Linked DNA regions of Medicago truncatula. The protein of the gene in region 1 interacts with the protein of each later gene in a pairwise test. Links are inferred from orthologs where the notes say so. Each region holds a gene or a part of one and is shown on either strand. Other genes may lie near its edges.

The links. The genes of interacting proteins can lie anywhere in the genome.
Region 2: the proteins of protein UNIFOLIATA (region 1) and protein UNUSUAL FLORAL ORGANS interact in binary tests that used the Arabidopsis thaliana proteins (3 or more experiments, as listed by UniProt). The link is inferred for Medicago truncatula from reciprocal best matches to the Arabidopsis thaliana genes LFY and UFO.

Annotation. Positions count from the first base shown.
Region 1 is NC_053044.1:48,439,883-48,446,639, forward strand, and holds protein UNIFOLIATA, read left to right. Parts: upstream 1-2,663; 5' UTR 2,664-3,033; coding exon 3,034-3,481; intron 3,482-3,851; coding exon 3,852-4,219; intron 4,220-4,724; coding exon 4,725-5,087; 3' UTR 5,088-5,262; downstream 5,263-6,757. UniProt on the Arabidopsis thaliana protein: Probable transcription factor that promotes early floral meristem identity in synergy with APETALA1.
Region 2 is NC_053045.1:46,786,552-46,792,898, reverse strand, and holds protein UNUSUAL FLORAL ORGANS, read left to right. Parts: upstream 1-2,866; 5' UTR 2,867-3,301; coding exon 3,302-4,636; 3' UTR 4,637-4,824; downstream 4,825-6,347. UniProt on the Arabidopsis thaliana protein: Component of SCF(ASK-cullin-F-box) E3 ubiquitin ligase complexes, which may mediate the ubiquitination and subsequent proteasomal degradation of target proteins. Considered as a meristem identity factor required for normal growth of the young floral meristem.

The sequences.
Region 1 (6,757 bases):
TTGAATTTTACATGTACAGTTGTGGTTTGTCATCTTCCTCGACCAATATAATTGTACAAATATGATATCCAAAATTAAAATAGAAAACGAGAATTTACTAACAGTGCATGTGATCTCAAAATAGAAAACAAGAATTTCCTAACAGTGCATGTGATCTCTATTCATTACCTATATACAGTTGAACATAATGAATAGATACGAAGAGTCCAATAATCAGGTCCCTTGAATGAGAATTAGGAATCAAGGGTTAGAATACCTTCTAAACATACTTTCTTTAATCTAGTGAGACATTTTAAGGTTAAAATCCGAGCTAGAGAGTAGGGATCACATAAGAATTACAATAGACAAGATCTCAAAAATGGTGTACCAAACATGAGGTAGAAATAATGGATCTAGGGGCGGTTCTAAGGCCCGGCGACCCCGGGTACTCGCTCGGGCTCCGGGCCAAATTTTTTGCAATTTCTTGTGTAAATCCCTATGAATTTCTTATATAAACCCCTTATAAATTGGGCAATTTCTTTACATTTTTTATTATTTGCTTGCAATTTCTTATGTACGCCCTATAAATGTGTTGCAAATTTTTTTTTGCCCGGGCTTTACTATATTCCTGGCTCCGCCACTGAATGGATCATAATTGAGTAGAATCACACATCTAAACCATGTACAATAGTTTTATCTAAACCATGTACAATAGTTTTTTCATTCAACACCCACTTTTTCAATTCCCAACAATCATCTCTCTTATTTAACATTCATTCAACTTTTACCCTCAGCAATGGTTTTTCATTCAACACTTTACTCCACCACTTTTTATTTCTTATTTAATTTTATATTTTGTTTTTATAATTACATAATTACAATTATCGATTATAATTAAATTAAAAAAACACTTAACAATTTATTTTTGGAGAAAGACCAGCGCACCTGTCAGGCGTGTGTAGTGCACTCTCCCTACAAACCACTTGTTTTGCGCCACATCATCTTCAACTTGGCCCACCATTCTCCTATTCAACATGTTGAATGCATTCAACATCTCTCTCCTCCACATCATCATTCAACATACCATTGGAGCACTTCCACTTGTTGAAGGTTGCTTTCAACTCAACACCATTGGACATGGTCTAAGAACAGTTGAATTTCTGTTTCTTGCCCTTGATTTACTTTGCTTAGAAAAATGCAAGTTGGAGAGAGATAGAAAGAGTGAGAAGGATACTTATTGAAATTAACCGACAGCAATCAAAAGCTTGACATATCCACACAATTGACACATATATGATCATTGGTGACAACTCTCTTTGATACTTTATTCTCTCTCTTCATCTCTCTCTCTCTCTCTCTCTCTATATATATATATATATATTGTTATTGTCCAATTAGAAGGGAGGAAAAATGTTGTTACCCAAAATCATTTAAAATTGATTGTCAAAATATCATTCATCTTTAATCAATAAGTCTTCCATTGAGGATCAAGTAGTTTTTGACACTCGCTCTTCTATGCCTACTTCCTCAAATCATTGAGATACGTATAATTGGATTGAATCAAACCAAGTATAATGTTGGATGAGATTGTTCTTCTAAACCTAATCTAAACTACACTATAAACACTCCATTGTATCTGACATTGACACATATAATTCCATTGAATTATAAAAAAAAATCAAGTTATTAACAATATCGACGTGTCATTGTTTGTATCTTGTGCTTCATATATGGTAACCAGCGAGGTGACACCATGCACCCTCCACCTCACTTCACCTCTATTAATGGTTTATGGTAGCTCATGTGTTGGCATGGGTTGGAAATTGGAAGCAATGGTCTTCGAAAGTACACACACATCATGAATTAATCAGCCTTTTTTTTTCAACTTTACAGTGTTTGCTTTAAGACCAACTGGAACAACCTGCAACCCTTGCAGCTGTACGTACTTTGATCCCTGCATCACTGCTTCTGCTTCACATCTCGTCACTCATGAAATAGTAAATAGTAACCCCATTCTTTACTATCATTGTTTCCCCATTAATGTTTTTACTGTTTTTACGTCCTTTTTTTGTCTGTTTCCTTAACGAGCTAGTCTCTCTTCTGTATTACAAACAGCTAAAAACCTCAGTGAGATTTTCTCTGATTCCGTAACTCACCACTACAGTATCAGACACAAGAATCACTCGTGAATCCTCTGCCATCTACCTTTCTTCATTGTAATTCTCACCAAAAATAATTAATAATCAAATTTAATAATTTACCTTTAATTGTTTGGATTGATCACTAGTTACATTAAATCATAATAATAGGCAATAAGGAAAAGTAGCTTGTTGTTTTTCGGGTTACAAACTTACATGCATGCCTTTCACTGACCAGGACCTTACCAACTTTTCCTTATTATTTGCCGCCCTACCCTAAATATAATCATAATGATTGAACATTTGAACTAAATAACCCTAAAAAACCCTAGTATTCTTCATTTAATTAATTTGTTGTTGTTGTTGTTTAAGTAGGCTAATATATATAGGCTTTTACGACAACCCAAAGCATCAATTCATACTTTGTACAACACACAAGCATGCATATGACACATAAGAGCAAGCACAAAAAAAAAAATAACAGTCAAGTCAAATCAGAGGTCAAACCATATACACACAACACAACACAACTGACCCCATCTGGTCGGATATTATTATGGGTAACCACGTCTATCTATAGCCAGTTAAATTAGTTCGGTTTGTTTTGAGGCATTCCAGTTTCAAATCAAATACAGTTCTTAGTCTCACACACAACAAAAGGAAGTCTCCAACAAGCCCTAACCAGTCTTGGGAATAACACTATTTCCTTATAGTTTTGGAAAAACCATGTCAAACAAAGGGTAGTTTTGGAAAATCACGTTATCTTTCTTTCTCCACAGTAAATTTAACCACACCCTCACCACCTTTACGTTTTCTATATCTCCACCTAAACAGTACCATAAATCTTCCACTTCTCATAATTTTCCAAAACCTAACAAACATACACAAAGAAGTTAAAACAGTTTCATTGCTTACCATGGATCCCGACGCATTCACCGCCAGCCTATTCAAGTGGGACCCACGTACCGTCCTACCAACAGCTCCACCTCTCCGTCCCCAACTTCTCGACTACGCAGTCACCCCATCAACTGCTCCATCACCTTATTATCCAGCGAGATTACCAAGAGAACTTGGAGGTTTGGAGGAACTTTTCCAAGCTTATGGAATCAGATACTACACGGCGGCGAAGATAGCAGAGCTTGGTTTTACAGTGAGCACGCTGGTGGACATGAAGGATGATGAGCTTGATGACATGATGAACAGCCTTTCCCAGATTTTTCGTTGGGATCTTCTTGTTGGAGAGCGTTACGGCATCAAAGCTGCCATTAGAGCTGAACGGAGACGCCTTGATGAAGAGGAAATTAAACGCCGGGGTCTTCTTTCCGGCGATACCACCAACGCTCTCGATGCTCTCTCTCAAGAAGGTGCACAGTCATTTATAATAATTGACTCAAATTATTCTACTGTTATATTAAAATACTGTTCTAATATATTATTAAAGTCAACTATGATATTACAAATTTATAATATGAACCTCACTTTTTTTTCCTTTGTATATGAAAATGAACGATTAAAAGATGTATTATGTTGAAAAAACGGTACAATGATAGAAAAAATTATTTTAGAATTGACGTTATGAAATTGATAATTACATTGAATGCATGATCACTTATACATTGATCCTGTGGTAACAAATATAATCAAGTAGTAACTAATCACAAATAATTTGTGACATGACAGCCTTATAGAATATTCAATTCTCAAATGTCAACTATATATAATTAATATGCTTAGGTTTGTCGGAGGAGCCGGTGGTGCAGCGAGAGAAGGAGGCGGTGGGAAGCGGAGGAGGGAGTACTTGGGAGGTAGCTGTGGTGGAGGAGAGGAGAAAGAGGCAGCAAATAAGGAGGAGAAGGATGAAGATGAAGGGAAATGGTGATCATGGTGAGAATGAAGAAGGAGACGAGGAGGAAGAAGATAACATCAGTGGTGGCGGTGAGAGACAAAGAGAACATCCATTCATTGTGACAGAGCCTGGGGAAGTTGCACGTGGCAAAAAGAACGGTCTAGATTATCTTTTTCATCTCTATGAACAATGTCGTGAGTTCTTGATTCAGGTTCAAGCAATTGCTAAGGAACGCGGTGAGAAATGCCCTACCAAGGTATACTATACCATGCCCGAACAACATTTTTCATATATATTTTAATTGAATTTGTTGTACTTTCTCGTCATATCTATGTGGATCTATCTTCTTCTGAATCTGACTCTGACTTGAAACCAGTCAGATTCCTGTGTTGTGTAGTAGTGTATAGTTCCTTCACGAACCGTTTGAACAGTACTTTCTTGCCGTGACACGTTCATCCGAACACGTGACGACTCAGGGACTCTCCTAATGGGTCCCATCACAACTTCCCATTCAACTGGGATTTTCATATGATCATATATCTCCGTTCCGTACACTTTGTTTGTATTTATTCATTTATTTATTTTCCGGTCACAAACTAGAACCATAACAAAATAATGCATGCATTTTATTATCCGGATCTTAGCTTACCCTCATAATCAAAATACATATCCATGAAATTTTGATACTACGTTGTGTATATGGGGTCTACTTATAATAAATAAATAAATGATACATGATTAATAACTTTGAGTGAGTGTAGGTGACAAATCAGGTATTTAGGTATGCAAAGAAAGCTGGAGCAAGCTACATAAACAAGCCAAAAATGAGACACTACGTGCACTGTTATGCATTGCATTGTTTAGATGAAGAGGTATCAAATGAGCTTAGAAGAGGGTTTAAGGAAAGAGGAGAGAATGTTGGTGCATGGAGACAAGCATGTTACAAGCCACTTGTAGCAATAGCTGCACGTCAAGGATGGGATATTGATGCAATATTCAACGCACATCCTCGTCTTTCAATATGGTATGTGCCAACAAAACTTCGTCAGCTTTGTCATGCTGAGAGGAACAGTGCTGCTGCTTCAAGCTCCGTCTCTGTTGGAACTGCTCACCTTCCTTTTTAAGTTAGACTTCAAATTCTATCACGCTCGCATGCATCTTTCTGTACTTTGATGATCAGGAATGGATGGATCATCGATGTATGTGTTATTTCTAGGATTATTATTTGTGTAGTACAAGTGGAAATGTAGAACCTTCCTCATATATATCGACTGGAATGTAGTAATCTCATTTTAGCTAGAGGACTTTTCTTAGTTATTATTGAAGGAAAAAATTAATATAAGGTTTCTTTATGCACCTCATAAATAATTTGCTTGCTTGGGTTACAAATTGATTCTCTGCGGTAATTTTTTTAAGCTTTCACGCAATTACAACATGTAAATATTAACTAGATGAACTTTGTCATAACCCTAATTTCTAGCATATTAAAAAAATATAATTAATTTTTTGATGTTAATACAAATAAGCACAAAGGTAAAAACTTAATAAAAATTGGAGAGAAATAGTAATTCTCAATAGAGAAATGATATTTTAACAACCATTTTTTTACAATTTTTTTGACAACTTTTTCTCTCATTCACATTATCTTTTTACTTTCTCTCTCTATTGATTTGGTTTTTGTGCCACTACCTCATTTCCTTTGTAAAATTTTGGTATATATGGATGTTCAAATAACACAACTCTTCTCAATAATATATAAACAGAAGTTTAAGACTATGTTTGGATTGGTGGTATGGGATGGAATGGTATGGAATGAGATTAAAGAATGAGTGAAGTTTAGCATGGGAAAGGCTAATTTTTCCCACTATGGGAAAGTTAGTTTTTAACCATTAGATCAAATCAAGAACACATCCTTACCATACTCCCTCATCACTAGATTTTGTAATTTTATTATTTTAAAACCATTTTTTAAAAACAAAAAATATATTTCGAAATTAAAATAAACATATAAAAATAAAAAATTAATTTAAAAATATGGAAATTAATTTTCCAAAATTTTAAAAAATATAAATAATTTTTTTGAAATAAACTTGTTTTCAAAAATTTTAATTATGATTTTCGAAGATTTAATTAAGTTTTTTGAAAAAAACTTGCTCAAAAAAAAAATTGGAAAATTAATTTCCAAAATTAAGTTTATTTTTTATTTTTAAATGTTTATTTTAATTTTGAAATATTTTTTTTGTTTTTAAAAAATAGTTTTAAAATAATAAAATTAAAAAATCTAGTGATGAGGGAGTATGGTAAGGATGTGTTCTTGGTTTGATCTAATGGTTAAAAACTAACTTTCCCATGGTGGGAAAAATTAGCCTTTCCCATTCTAAATTTCACCTAAAGAATGTACCATTCCATTGCTTGGATTTGAAAATAAAGATGGAATGGAATTGAACATGGTGGGATGTATTCCATCCTATTCCATTATTTCTCTCAATTTTCATTCCCCCCAAATCGAGAGGTATGGGATGGAACCACTCCATTAAATTTTAAAATGACTTACATACCCTCTTCTTTTAATATCACTCACCACCATTACCTAGCTAGTTGTGTTCTTTCTCCTTTCTTGTTTGTGTCATCTTCTCTTCCGCGTAACCTCGTGTACATGCATCATAATTTTATCTCCACTTGCATATTCCTACTTTGCTAATTTGAAAATCTGCGACACGCAGTAATCTGTTTTCACAATGTGTAAATAAATATTCTCTTTACAATTATTTTGCCGCATGTAACTTGTCACAGT
Region 2 (6,347 bases), on another chromosome or scaffold:
GATTGAGACTTTGGGTAGAATTAGAAGGGAGACTTATTCTTGTAACCCATTGATATCTCTTTTGTAAAGTTACTCATCATTATAGTGGAACAGAGGGCTGCTCTCTCCCCAAGATTAGGTCAGTTTTGGACCGAACTGGGTAAACAAATTTCGTGTGTTCTCTCTTTCTTTTCTCTCGCTGTTTTCTAATTTTGCCTTGTGTTTATAACTTCCATACACTTTGTTTGGTTGCTAGATTATTCCTTGCTCCACATATCAAATATTTTATTGGTGTGATTTTTTTATCGAATTCACAACAATATTTATAAACAATCGCTTTCCTAAATTCATAGACTTTTTTATCGAGCGGAGAAAATAAATCCATAAAAGATACGTTTATTAGGAGAGGATAAAACTACGAGAGTTTACACATATTTTTTATTTTTTTAAAAATACCCCACAAAAGTAACACCTCAGACCGTGTTAAACTTGGAGAAGATTTATAATTAAATTTGTTGGCGTGTTGAAAAAATACATATTGTAGAAATTTCACATTATCTTAGAATTATAAAGAGTGAGACCAAGACTCTTGTTAGAGTTCGGGGAAGTGTCGATAGCAACAACAAACCAATACTTCAGGAGTATGAGACAAGAAGACATCACATCTCTATCTAAAATCTTAACATATTAGGTATATGTTGCACTTCTCTTATCCATCCAATATTTTTTTAGGCGACGTGAGACAAACAAATCACATTTGAACCCAATAATCTCACCCTAAGTGTGAGTTTCTACCTCCTACACTCATCATGATCCATTTCTGCTTTGCCACTAAGTCGAATCAAAGGTTACAATATCACTTGTTAGGAAGTCTCAAGGAGTGTTGAGAACAACAAATCAATGTATTGGAACTACAAGAGATATCACATTTTCACCTAAAACTTTTGAGACATTAAATATATAATCATCTCATTTTACACATTCAACTTTTTTCTCATGAGACTAAAGAGTCTCACTTGAACTAAACAATCAAATTATATGAATTGTAGATTTAATCATATGTACAACCTTAAATGTACAAACTTAGCGGGTAAGTATAGCGAACACATCAAGTAACAATAGTATAGCCTTTTTAATAAGTGTAATCTAGAGGTAACATTGGTTCTATTCAAGATTTTATGCGCTTTGGCCTATGTGTAGCCATTTTTGCTGCTAGAGTTGTCATCCATATCATATATAGAATGAACTGTAGTGGTACTTCCTGTTTATGGCTTTTTTGTCGCTTTGTGGGAAATGGATTTCACATTTCACCAATGGTGTCATTAATAAATGAGCAATGATATTTGAACAATTATTTGTTAACAACTTCAATGACAATCTCCTTTCTCTCTTCTTATTGATCATAAACAATGGAGAGAAAAAAAAAAAAAAAAGAGAGAGAAAGAATATAATATAAGTACGAGAGAGAAAATTGTATAAAAATTGTTAAAAAATAGTTGTATAAATATCATTTCTTTCGGCAAATAAACCGACTAACTATTTTTACCTTTTTAAAAATAAATAAATCTGACTCCAATATCAGAAAAACTTTCAATATAATCATCTCTCATCAAGCTAAACAATAATAGCCCCAGTTTTATTTTTTTGACGAAGCTAAAATCAACATGATAAGAAAATCTTAGCACAAAAAATACCAAAAAAAAGTTACAAATTACATAGGTCAAGTCAACTGATCCACCACTAACAACAAAAACATAGCAAAGCCAACACCAGAGGCTAGATTAAAACCAAAACTCCAAGATAATTAACATCCACCAAACAATAAAACACTCAAACGAGAAACAACACTAATCCCTAAACAACGTAAGGGACAAGATCACTACCAATTGAGTTCATAATTGAAAGCTTTCACCTAATATTTTAACCAACTTATCTAGAATAAGACAACATCACACTCCTCAAGTCAAAAGTTCACATTGTTCCGAAGTTTTTTTTTTTTTTTCCAAATAGATCAAATAACAATAGATCTCTAGTTATAACTTTAAAGCATTGCATATATAAACATTATTTTTATATATAATTCTTTAGTTTATTCTAATCAATATGATATGATATGCAGGAGAATTTTCTTTAGTATTTTATCATTTTAGTTCAATTTTAATAATTTATGTTTTATTTTCTATTTAGATTCTTGGTCCATTAGGGTTTTTATTTTCCTATTTAAACTTAACAGTTGTACTTTAAGAGTCAACTTTTATTCATTCAACCATATTTTAGAGAATTTTCTCAATTTCTAATGGATTCCGAAACCCTATTTTCACAAGTTTGTCGCTTGCAAATTTGTTTATTTTCAATCTAGGTTTAACGTTTGTTAGCATATGCTTATGACTGTTTCACAATATCAAAATCAATCTCTTACACTTGAATTATATATATATATATATATATATATATCGAATTAACAATTGAATTATTATGTATCCTCCAAAAAAAATTTGAATTATTATGTATAATATTTTTGGCAAAGTTATTATATATAATATAAAGGGCCTATATTTTTCCACTAGCACTAGCACTAGCATTCCCATGTAGCATATAGTTGAGTTGCACTTTGATCAATTGCACATGTCTTTCTCTTCTGCAAACATGTCCTTCCTTCCCAACCTCGGCTTTGACAAAACAACACTGAAATGATAGATGCATTCATCAGAAATAATCACTTCCTCTTTCTTTATTCTCACCTCCTCAACTACCAAAAACAAACCATGAGCAAGAAAGCATTAATAAGGAAATTAAAACTTTTTCTATTATATAAAGAAATAACACAAGGCTCATTTCATTTCTACTTCACTCTTGTTGTCTATTGTTTGTTGTTATTATATATACAGTTGTCCCCACCCAATTCATTGCCACTTTCTAACTCACGTCCTTTGTTCCATTTATGGTTATGCTGCATTCACACCTAAAATCTTCTTCAAAATCTTCCTATATCTACCCCCCCCTTTCTCCAATATCTCCTCCAAATCCCACTGAAAATGAGGAACAGAATCAACCATCTCCTCCCAGGTGATTTTTAGCAATCACCACCAACTATCCTTCCAAAACCTAGCTACCTTTTTCACCCTTTCCCCTCTTAGGTGCTTCCCTAAAAGCGTTCTTTTCCACAAACATTTCACTTCCTTTTCTTTTTCACCAAAAACAACCAACAATCTATAACCTTTCCTTTATCATTAAAGCCAACCCTAGCTATCATATATCTTAAATGTTCCACTATTTCCTCTAATAATAAGAAAGAACCATATACAAATTTATATTTATATTTATGGAAGGTTTTCACCCATCTATGAATATGAGTATGAATATGAATATGAGCATGAGCATGAACCCTTCTTTTTCTTACACTTTCCCTATCACTGCTACTGCTTCTGGTGTTAGCACCAACATAACTACTGCTCCTTACACCACTACTTCTACTACTCCATGGATGAACAGCAGAATATGGAGTAAGCTTCCACAGAGACTACTTGATCGCATCATAGCTTTCCTTCCTCCACCAGCTTTCTTCCGTGCACGTTCTGTCTGCAAGAGATTCTACTCTCTTCTCTTTTCCAACTCTTTCCTTGAATTATACCTTCAAGTTTCACCTCGTTTCCACTGGTTCATCTTCTTCAAACACAAAACCAGATCAAAAACTCACATCTACAAAAACAGTAACAACATCACTGATAGTACTTCCTTTGAAGGCTACCTCTTTGATCCTAATGAAATGACGTGGTACCGTATTTCATTTGCTTTAATCCCTTCTGGTTTCTCACCATCTTCTTCATCCTCAGGTTTAGTCTGTTTTGTTTCTGATGAATCTGGTCCAAAAACAATGCTTTTAAGCAACCCTTTACTTGGTTCTATAGCTCAGTTACCACCAACTTTGCGTCCAAGACTCTTTCCTTCCATTGGCTTAACCATCACTCCATCTTCCATTGATGTTACTGTTGCTGGTGATGACATGATATCACCTTATGCAGTTAAAAACTTAACATCTGAAAGCTTTCACATTGATGCAAGTGGGTTTTATTCCATTTGGGGAACAACCTCTTCATTACCAAGACTCTGTAGTCTTGAATCTGGTAGAATGGTATATTCAAATGGAAAATTTTACTGCATGAATTGCAGTCCTTTTAGTGTTTTAGCTTATGATGTAGCAACAAACGCTTGGTTCAAAATTCAAGCACCTATGAGAAGGTTTTTAAGGTCACCTAACCTTGTTGAATGCAAAGGGAAACTCTTACTTGTTGCCGCTGTTGAAAAGAGTAAGCTGAATGTGCCTAAAAGTTTGAGGGTTTGGTGTTTACAAGGTTGTGGAAGTGTTTGGGTTGAAAGTGAGAGAATGCCACAACAACTTTATGTTCAGTTTGCTGAAATGGAAAATGGGAATGGATTTGAGTGTGTTGGGAATGGTGAGTTTATTGTGATTATGATTAAAGGAAGTGATAAGGGTTTGGTTTATGATATTGGAAGGAAGAGATGGCAGTGGATTCCACCTTGTCCTTATGCTGGTTATGATGGGTTTGAGTTGCATGGTTTTGCTTATGAGCCTAGGTTGGCTACACCTGTTATTGCTTTACTTGATCAATTGGCTATGCCACTTCCACAGTTTTAATTCATGGATGCTTAAAATATTGGAGAATTAATTGGTTGGTTGGTTTATATCAATGTATAATGTATAATTATGATGGTATGATATAAGTATGGTAATATTAATATATATGAATGAATGACTTATAAACCTAGCTAGCTAGTCATGAAAAGTGCATCTTCAGTGTAATACTCCGTTAACTTGTAGTAGTAATGATCCGTTTAATAACTTAAATTGTTCCTCTTTTGTGGTTTGGAATTTAAATGGAATCATAATTGTAGTCCCCATTTGCAGTTATCTATCTCCATATATATATATATATATATATATATATATATATATATATATATATTTGCACTGTAGGTTGTAGGCGTAGTAATTTACACTCAATCAGATTTGAGAAAAATAAGATGATTGTATACGGAAATGGATTGCTTTGGACATTCTAGATCTAACACCTTATTAACTACCGGTAACATTTTTATTGAATAAAACCCATGTCACTTTTACACTTTAAAAATGGATCCCACATAAGTTTTATGTGAGTTTCATTCAATAAAAAAATGAGTACTTAAAATAAGGTTAAAATGCACTTTTGGCTCCAAAGTTTCTAAAAGTTGAAATTTTAACCTACTATTTTGGAAATAGCACTTTTGGCCCCCTAAGTTTTAGCTCCTTTGCAAAACCATGATCCCCTTGATTTTGACTCGGTGAAAGCTGACATGTTGCGTTTTTTTTTTTGTGCCACGCTCGATATTGTTAAAATTTAAATTTTGCCAACACTTATTATTAGAGTTAAAATTAATAAAAACCCATAAAAGGTGAGATTTCTCACGTGCCCGTTCCATTCCATATTAAAAACCGTAGAAACCAAAATCCAACTGGGAATTAGGGTTAAGTCCAAACTTTAAATCTCAATCGGAAGACTTTCCTACATTGCGGCACTGAGCAGCATCTTCGAATCGGAAGAATTCGCAACCCTTACCTTCGCTTATGTCTTCTTCGCATCTTTGACTTTCGCATCAAATTTCTTCGCAACTCTGACCTTCGTGTTTGCTTTTGTTTTTCCCTTTGGAGACTGTTTCGTCATCTTCTTCAATTAACCTTGCTGGTTCGATAAAGATGAGAGTGAAATTTGGAGTTTGGACTTAACCCTAATTCCCAATTGGATTTTGGTTTCTACGGTTTCTAATATGGAATGGAAGGGTCATGTGAGAAATCTCACCTTTTATGGGTTTTTGTTTTAATTTTAATTCTTTCTTTTTTTTTGACAAAATTTTAATTTTAATAATATCCAACATGACACAAAAAAAAAAAACACGACATGTTAACTTTGACCAAGTCAAAATCAAGGGGGCCATGGTTTTGCAAAGGAGCTATAACTTGGAGGGCCAAAAGTGTTATTTTCGAAATAAGGGAATCAAAATTGCAACTTTTGAAAATTTAAGGGATCAAAAGTACATTTTAACCTTCAAATAAAATGTTTTCTTTCTCGTGTATACCCATGAGATAGTAAAATATGATCTATAACCATTCAAACTAGTTTATAATTAGAACCATTCAAACTATTTAAATTTCTCATGTATTTCTCTCTCTTAGTTAACGGTGAGATCACAACTCTACTTGGACTACAATTGATAATTTATTAACTATCACACTTCTTAAGTTTAAAGGAGATACTTTTATTTTTTTTTCAACAAACTTATACTCAATTTTTTCTTCGAATAAACTACTC